Linked DNA regions of Macaca fascicularis. The protein of the gene in region 1 purifies or fractionates together with the protein of each later gene. This does not show direct contact. Links are inferred from orthologs where the notes say so. Each region holds a gene or a part of one and is shown in the gene's direction. Other genes may lie near its edges.

Region 1 (3,805 bases):
CCAGATCTGAATGCTGGGAGACTGATTTGAGTAACAATAAAACCCCGGTCTCCCGCACAGCCAGCTCTGCGTGAAATACTCTTTTCGCCATTGCAAATCCCATCTTGATAAATCCGCTCTGTCTAGGCAGTGGGCAAGGTGAACCCATTGGGCGGTTACACTTAACTCTAGTTCCCCATTCTGCTGCGTGACTTTAGGTAGGCTACCCAACATCCCTGGAATTCAATGATTGATTATACGATCTCCGTGCTTCCTTTCCACTCACAGATCTTACAAAATCAGTTTCATGCCTCTTTCATTGACAGTTGTAGCCCTCTACCTCCACCTCTGAACAAATTTGCTCGAGTTCTGTTCCGACAATTCTATAGACTCGACTCAATGAAGGCACTCAGAATTTCCACCACCTGTTGTATTTTCCAACAAAGATTGCAACCACAGCGGCGAGAGGGAGTTATGTGTCACAAGCTGTGGTTAGAGACACAGTGAGATTTATACAAGAAAAAACTGATTAAGAATCACAAGATACCAAAGCCCAAAGGAAGTCCTATTTGTAACAATAAATGATGAAAAAGGGGAATTGACTTTTGACTTGTCAGCAAAAAGGAAATTAAAAGAAAAGCAAAGGGAGCTGGAAGGGGGAGGGCGGGATTCCAAGATACAAAGCATAAAAAAAAAAGAAGTTCTGTGCTCCACCCCTCCACCAGCGCTAGATACAGCCCTTCTATTGTCAGCCCTACAAACTTTAGGAAACTTCAGTAAAAGGCCCACCTCCTGGAGTTCCCAGGAACCCCAAAACATGCGTTCTAAGAAAAAGACAAAGTTGTGTGCGATCGGGTTTCCTGGAGGCCGGCGCCTTCTCCCCGACCCAGACCACTCCAGTTAGGGTCCAAGGCTCAGCCTGGCCGCCCGAGGGATCCGCCCAGCCCAGCCCCGGGGGTCTCAGCGCGGGGATCCGGCGGGGGCTTCCGCAGAGGGCGCGGGAACCTTGGGCGGGCCTGGGGCTCACCGCAGTCCTTGAACTGCACGGGTTCGGCCTGGGCGGCGGTGCTGAGCGCCAGGAGCAGGAATGTAGCGGCCAGGAAACGCATCGCGGATAACGAAGTTCCAATCTCTGGAAAGAAGCGGCGGCCGCCCGCGGTCACAAGACAAACCTGTGGGGGCGGGCCCGGGGAGGAGCCCAGTCAGGCGACCTGTCACCAGTAACCACGGCCGAGGCCCGCCCGCGCCCCGCCCCCGGCCCCGGGAGCCAACTCCAGCCCTCTCGGGCCCAGAAGCCTGCAGTCTCCGCCCATGCCGTCCCCTCAGAGGCCTGACCCGCCCAGACCCACCTCCGCCCCGCCCCACCTCACTCCTCCTCGCCCCACCTCACTCCTCCTCGCCCCGTTCCTTCCCTTTAGAGCACCTCCCCGGCTTCATGGGTGCGTCCCCGCGGCTGCCGTCGGGAGCATTTCTAGCCAATCAGGCACCTTCTCCTCCCTCACTACCCAATAGGTATGTTGGGGGCGGGGCCTCCGTGAGGGCCCGGCCTCCTGTTCGTTCTCCCCGCCTCCCGAGGCTCCGGGTGAGAAACGGGGGAGACGCGCGGGGCGGAGCTTGTGGAGGAAGATGGCTGCCGCCCGGGGGTTGTCCCTAACGGCCGCGACGCAGAGAGCGGTCACTCCCTGGCCGAGGGGCAGGTATCAAGACTAGAAAGGCACCTGGAAAGGGTGTTTGGTTCTGCGCCTCTAGGACAAATGGGAAACCAAGGCCTGTGGGGGAGGTGAGGGTTTGGTGGAAGGCCGTCCAGGTGGGGGTCACCAGGTTTAGCGTGAGGCGCTCCAGGTCAAGGGTTGTCAGGTGCCCCTTCTGCCCCCGGGCTTACCCTCCCTTGCGCGCAGGCTCCTCGCGGCCTCCCTGGGACTCCAGGCGCGTCGGGAAGCGTCGTCCTCCAGCCCCGAGGCCGGCGAAGGGCAGATCCGCCTCACGGACAGCTGCGTCCAGGTAGAAGGCCGGTCGCGGGGCGGCGGTACCCAGGCGATTGGCGGGAGCAGCGGGAACTGCTCTTCACTCAGCCCTTTAACTCCCGTTGCCCGCTATTCCTGATCCCCTTCCTGCATTTCAGAGGCTTCTGGAAATCACCGAGGGGTCAGAGTTCCTCAGGCTGCAGGTGGAAGGAGGTGGATGCTCCGGATTCCAATACAAATTTTCACTGGATACAGTTATCAACCCCGACGACAGGCAAGGAGGAAGGGATGGGTTCCCAAAGGAGGTACAGGAGGGATAAAAGTGTGTATAGTTTAAGGTGCACTTTTATTCCAAATTTAAAGGGTTTACTTGGGATGGTTAACACCGCCCGTCTCACAGTGAGGATGCGGTGAAGGTTTGTTGTCCTGAATCAAAATAACTAAGTTATAGGAGCAAAATTGGCCTGCCCAGGTCCATTGGGTAGTCGGTAGAAAGTCAGGCCGGATTAGATTCCAGGCTTAAGTCCCTACACTTTTCGCAGTATTTATTCCATTGAATCATTTTTGCCTAAAAGAAAATCAGCACGTGTTAAAGGTAATCGGGAAGCTCCCTCTGTACTTTAGAAAACAGACGGTGTGCACCTCTGGGCCCAGGGGGTGTCTTTTTTGTGTTTGTGATACTCGTTAATGCTTTCCTCCTGTCTTTTCAGGGTATTTGAACAGGGTGGGGCAAGAGTGGTGGTTGACTCTGATAGCTTGGCCTTCGTGAAAGGGGCCCAGGTGGACTTCAGCCAAGAACTGATCCGAAGCTCATTTCAAGTGTTGAACAATCCTCAAGCACAGCAAGGCTGCTCCTGTGGGTCTTCCTTCTCTATCAAACTTTGATGCGATGACTGGTGACTCTGAGATTGTCACCAGTTGTACCAATTTGAAGAACCTGGAATTAGTAGAATTCTAGAGGTTTCCTTCTAATCATGTCCCTCTCAATTTTATTTCCCACAGTCCAGGAGTGTTGTGTTTTGCCACTATTATTTTCAGAACGTGAAGATTTTGGCTTAATTTTTCCCTCCAACTCCCCTCAGTGCTAAGGCTGAGCCTCCAGATGCTGTTACCTCAGATTTAATCACTGGTTGAAACTCCGTATAATCTGTAGAGCTTCCATGGCTCTAAAATTTGGAATTAAATTATCTGGCCTTAAGAGCTGCTTGTATATATGTGGATAGCTATGTATAAAAGCTTCATTTTAAAGAAAGTTCTTATTGTGTTGTGGATCAGGATCACAGGTTGGGTAGCTTGGACACCGTTATTAGAGGATGAGAAAAGTAAATGAAATGTTCTCTTTTTCATTTTACCCTGCCAGTATGTGCTATTTTTCTTTATTGTCTATGCAGCCCATTCGCCACTTCCTATTTGATGGGACAGATACATTTTACTCTCATACTCGTGGATCTGCTAGGAGTCATAAAACCAAGAGCCCATTGCCCAGAAAACTTGGACCAAACCCTCACTGATACTGAATTGTTTCAAAAATAGCCTCCCTACTCATAGAGACATTTTAAGATTCTGTGACAATTTAATGACTGAATCTTTTTTAGGATATGTTGCTTCACCTGCCTTCTGTTGTAAAATGGCTCTGGTCTCATGCACAGCAGGAAGTGATCTCTTTATCGTTATAGGTAATAGATTCTTAGGAACCTTTTTTTAGATTGGATTGCCAGATGAAATGTAGGATGCCCAGTTAAATTTGGATTTCAGATAATTAATTTTTTAGAGTGCCTATGTCTCAAATATTGCATATACTAAAAATTACTATTTGAAATTCAAAATTAGGCATCCTATATTTTTATTTGCTGACCTTGGCA
Region 2 (3,804 bases), on another chromosome or scaffold:
CACCATAGTGCCCTCAGATCCACCCACTTCTGTCCATCTCCGGCTCCCTGTACTTGCTGAGAAGTCCCCTGTCGTGTGGTGGCACCTTGATTCTCCCCTTTTGGCCATTACTAGTAGAGCTGGCTGCTGTGAGCTTTCGCTTTAGCAGGTTTTGTGTGAACTGCAGTGTTCATTTCTCAGTGATCCATGCCCGGAAGTGAGAGAGCCAGGTCACGGGGTAGTTGCTTGTTTGATATTGTGAGGACTTGCACCCTGTCTTCCAGAGGGACGCCCGTTTTGCCTCCACACCAGCAGCATGCCAGTGACCTGGTTTCTCCTCGTGCTGGCCAGCGTTTGGGTTTGCCACTGCGTCTGTCTGGGACACATTGCCTGTGTTTCCCTGGTGGCGTGGTGACCTTTTTGCACTACACCTGCGGCTGCCCCTCTGTGCTGTCCTTGCTGTTCCTCCCATCATCTTAGCCCCACATGTGTAAATGACGTATGTTCCCCTCCCTTGCCAGTGTTGTTTTTGATGTCCTGTGACCACTGTCTTGGAGGGCGGGCCAGCTCCACTGGCTGTCACAGCTGGCTATGCCCACCCTCCCTGCATCAGGGTCCTCAGTGAGACCTGTGCCCACTGGTTCTGGGTGAACATTCTCTGTGGCTGCTGGCATGTGGGCATGATCACAGGGTAGAGTGAGACTGCAGAGATGAGGGCAGCAGGCCCCCACTTGGCACCTGAAGCTCTGGGTGGCTGGCAAGGACTGAGCCCTCTTCTGGCTGGAAGGGGCTGGGCCACCAGCTTGTGGGCTCCTCTCTGGCAGGCCCTCTGGGGGTCTTATTACCTCCCTGTCTCAGCTCTCACCGGTCTGTGAAGCCTTGTGCAGTCCACACCTGCAATCAACCCTAGCCATGGAGGTGGCTGCACCCGAGGTATCTCCACTTAGTGCCCCCCACCTGACATGCCCCACACTGCCCGGGCCTCCCCTCTCCCCACCATCCATCTGGTCAGGGGTCATTCGTGTGGTGCCTGCCCAAATCCTCTGAGGAGGGCTGCCTGGAGTGCAGGTCAGAATGGCTCTGGGGTTGGGTTCTGAGACTTGACTTGGGGAGGCAGGTGGTGGACATAGGTAGAGTGGTCCTCAGGCATATTGTACCTCCCTGACCTCCTCCTGGGCTCCTTGCTCCTCCCTCCTGCCCACCTTAGGACCCTCGGGCTCCTCGATGGCTTCCCTGGGCTGGAACAGGCAGGTCTGGTTCTCAGTGGCTGTGCATACCGTTCCTCTGTGGGGCCCTGCCCGTCCCTGCTCCCGCATCCAGTGGACTGTTGTCATTTCTTCCCTAGGCTTTGGGACTACTCCAGACGATGCCCTTGGGCAGGCTATTGTAGTTCTGCCAGTCCCTGGGCAAACAGGGTCTGTCTGCGCTAGCCCCTGTGAGCTTGTCTCTGCCTGCTTAGAGGAGAGCTCTGGAGGCGCAGCTCCGCGTGGCTGTGGGCAGGGCTCTCCATGTGCTGGTCCAGGTGTGCCCTGCCTGGCCTGATGTGCGTTGTCTGCACGTATCCTGGCATTGCTGTGGGCATGGCACTCTGCGCTGTTCTCCATGGTGCTCACATCTAGCTGTGGCTATGGCTATGGGCGTGGCTCGCTGTGGCGTGGCTCCCTGCTTGTGGTGACCCAGGCGCTTGCCTTGAAGGTGCAGTCCCTTGTGGCTGAGGGCAGGGCTCCTTACGTTGGTCCACGGTGTACTCCTCTGCCTGGGTAAGGCTAGCTCCGTCATGCAGCCCTTTCTGGCCCACGCACTTGGTGAGCTGGCATGCACCCCTGCCTCTCTCCCTGCAGGCTCCAGGAACACTCGGAGGAGGTGTCTGGCTTTCTCCTGGAGTGTGACAGCTCCGTGCAGGGCGCACTGCAGAAGCACCTCGCGCTATACAGGATCCGGCGGAAGGTCACGGTGGAGCCGCACCCGGAGCTGCGAGTGTGGGCAGTGTTGCCCAGTTCCCCTGAGGCCTACGGGAATGCACCGTTGCAGGAGAGTGCAGGGGCTGCTGCCATCCTCATCCGCGACCCGCGAACAGCACGCATGGGGTGGCGGCTCCTCACCCAGGACGAAGGCCCAGCCCTGGTGTCGGGGGGCCGGCTCGGGGACCTGTGGGATTATCACCAGCACCGATACCTGCAAGGTATGGGCAGGGTGGGCGCGCAGGACTGGATTGCATGGGTAGGGCTAGACGATGTTCAGTTCTTGCTGGTTTCCCTCCTCCGATCCCTGCAGGCGTTCCTGAGGGGGTCAGAGACTTGCCTCCTGGGGTGGCCTTGCCGCTGGAGTCCAACCTGGCCTTCATGAACGGCGTGAGCTTCACCAAAGGCTGCTACATCGGCCAGGAGCTGACAGCCCGCACCCACCACATGGGCGTCATCCGCAAGCGCCTCTTCCCTGTCAGGTTCTTGGACCCCCTTCCTGCCAGTGGCATCACCCCCGGTGCCACGGTGCTGACTGCGTCAGGACAGACTGTGGGCAAGTTCAGGGCCGGCCAGGGCAACGTGGGGCTGGCCCTGCTGTGGTCAGAGAAGATCAAGGGTCCTCTGCACATCAGAGCCTCTGAGGGTGCTCAGGTGGCCTTAGCCGCATCTGTGCCAGACTGGTGGCCTACAGTTTCCAAGTAGCCCGAAGCCTTGGCTGGTGCAGGCTGATGGGGAGGCTGGGGCCTGGGGCCTCTGTCCTCTGTCGGGGGTCTTCCCATTCCATCTGTCTGCTGTGCCTACTGGGTGGGAGCCCTGGTTCCCATCTGGGAAAGTCCTCCTTGTAGGTGCCCTGCCTGGCCCCGCCCATGCTCAAGGGCCCCAGGCACGTGGGTTGTTTTCTCACTGGGCTTCCTGTGACCCCAGAGGAGCCCACTGTGTGAGTGCTGAGCTCCAGGTGGCGCCGGGCCCCAATTGTGGCTCCACACAGGGTTGTCTGGGAGGATGGGACAGTGTCTCTGGCCAGCACTGGCAGCTTCTGTGCCTTGCACCCCACTCTGCCCAGCATGAGCCTCATGGGGGGTTGGTCCCTGTGCCTGGAAGCTGGGCGGTGTCCAGGGTCTGCAGGCTGGGGCTCCGGCTTTGGGAGTTGTTTCACTGTGCTTGTTTCCAGCATGTCTCAGGGTGGGGTTGTGCGTGGTTTAGAGGGGTCTGGGGCATTGGATCAGGTGGCATGTGGGTTTCTGTGCATGGAGGAGCACACAGGGCTGAGCCACCAGGTATCCCATGCTGGAGGCTTGTGGAAGGCTGTGCCCATTGTCCATGTTTCCCCACCTCTGTTCCTCCTCAGAGCCCTCCAGGAGCATGGGGTAGGGCCAGCTCAGGGCTCAAGAGCCAGCAGGGCAGAGTTCTGCATGTGTGTGCTGGGTTTCGGCACTGCCTGTGTTTGCAGTGAGAGTGACTTGCTGTCAGTCGTGGGGTGCAGCCTCCTGTTCACCCACTGGCTTCCCCCTTCCCACTGAAGTGTGAGCTCCATGTTTCAGGGCATTTATTAAAGAGTGAGCCACAAGCAGCCCCTTGGGAGCTCTGGTTTCATTTGGGGGAGAGGGAGGCGGGGGCTTAGTTTCTGGGATCTGGCTGACGACCCTGGCAACAGCTGTCCCTTGAGAATGCCTAGACCTACCAGATGAAGCACTTGGCATGGCTGCAGGCCAGCAGGGGAGGCCTCAGAGGCCCAGGCTGGGCATGTGGGTGCCGAGTCTGCAAAGGACAGCCCCATGGCTGTGAGCTGTTGGCTGCAGGGCACAGGGCCTGGGGGGCAGGCATTTGGGCCACCAAGCTGGACCTTAGGGTGGTCACGGAG

The links.
Region 2: the proteins of ISCA2 (region 1) and IBA57 purify together in Homo sapiens (co-immunoprecipitation; 4 studies listed by BioGRID and IntAct, with this or other methods). This does not show direct contact. The link is inferred for Macaca fascicularis from reciprocal best matches to the Homo sapiens genes ISCA2 and IBA57.

Annotation. Positions count from the first base shown.
Region 1 is NC_088381.1:142,441,169-142,444,973, forward strand, and holds ISCA2 (iron-sulfur cluster assembly 2 homolog, mitochondrial), read left to right. Parts: upstream 1-1,595; 5' UTR 1,596-1,605; coding exon 1,606-1,676; intron 1,677-1,877; coding exon 1,878-1,980; intron 1,981-2,101; coding exon 2,102-2,217; intron 2,218-2,653; coding exon 2,654-2,828; 3' UTR 2,829-3,294; downstream 3,295-3,805. Other genes in the region: NPC2 (NPC intracellular cholesterol transporter 2), read right to left, coding at 1,007-1,088. UniProt on the Homo sapiens protein: Involved in the maturation of mitochondrial 4Fe-4S proteins functioning late in the iron-sulfur cluster assembly pathway. May be involved in the binding of an intermediate of Fe/S cluster assembly.
Region 2 is NC_088375.1:86,082,081-86,085,884, forward strand, and holds the end of IBA57 (putative transferase CAF17, mitochondrial), read left to right. Parts: intron 1-1,820; coding exon 1,821-2,161; intron 2,162-2,253; coding exon 2,254-2,645; 3' UTR 2,646-3,513; downstream 3,514-3,804. UniProt on the Homo sapiens protein: Mitochondrial protein involved in the maturation of mitochondrial [4Fe-4S]-proteins in the late stage of the iron-sulfur cluster assembly pathway. Operates in cooperation with ISCA2 in the maturation of [4Fe-4S] proteins.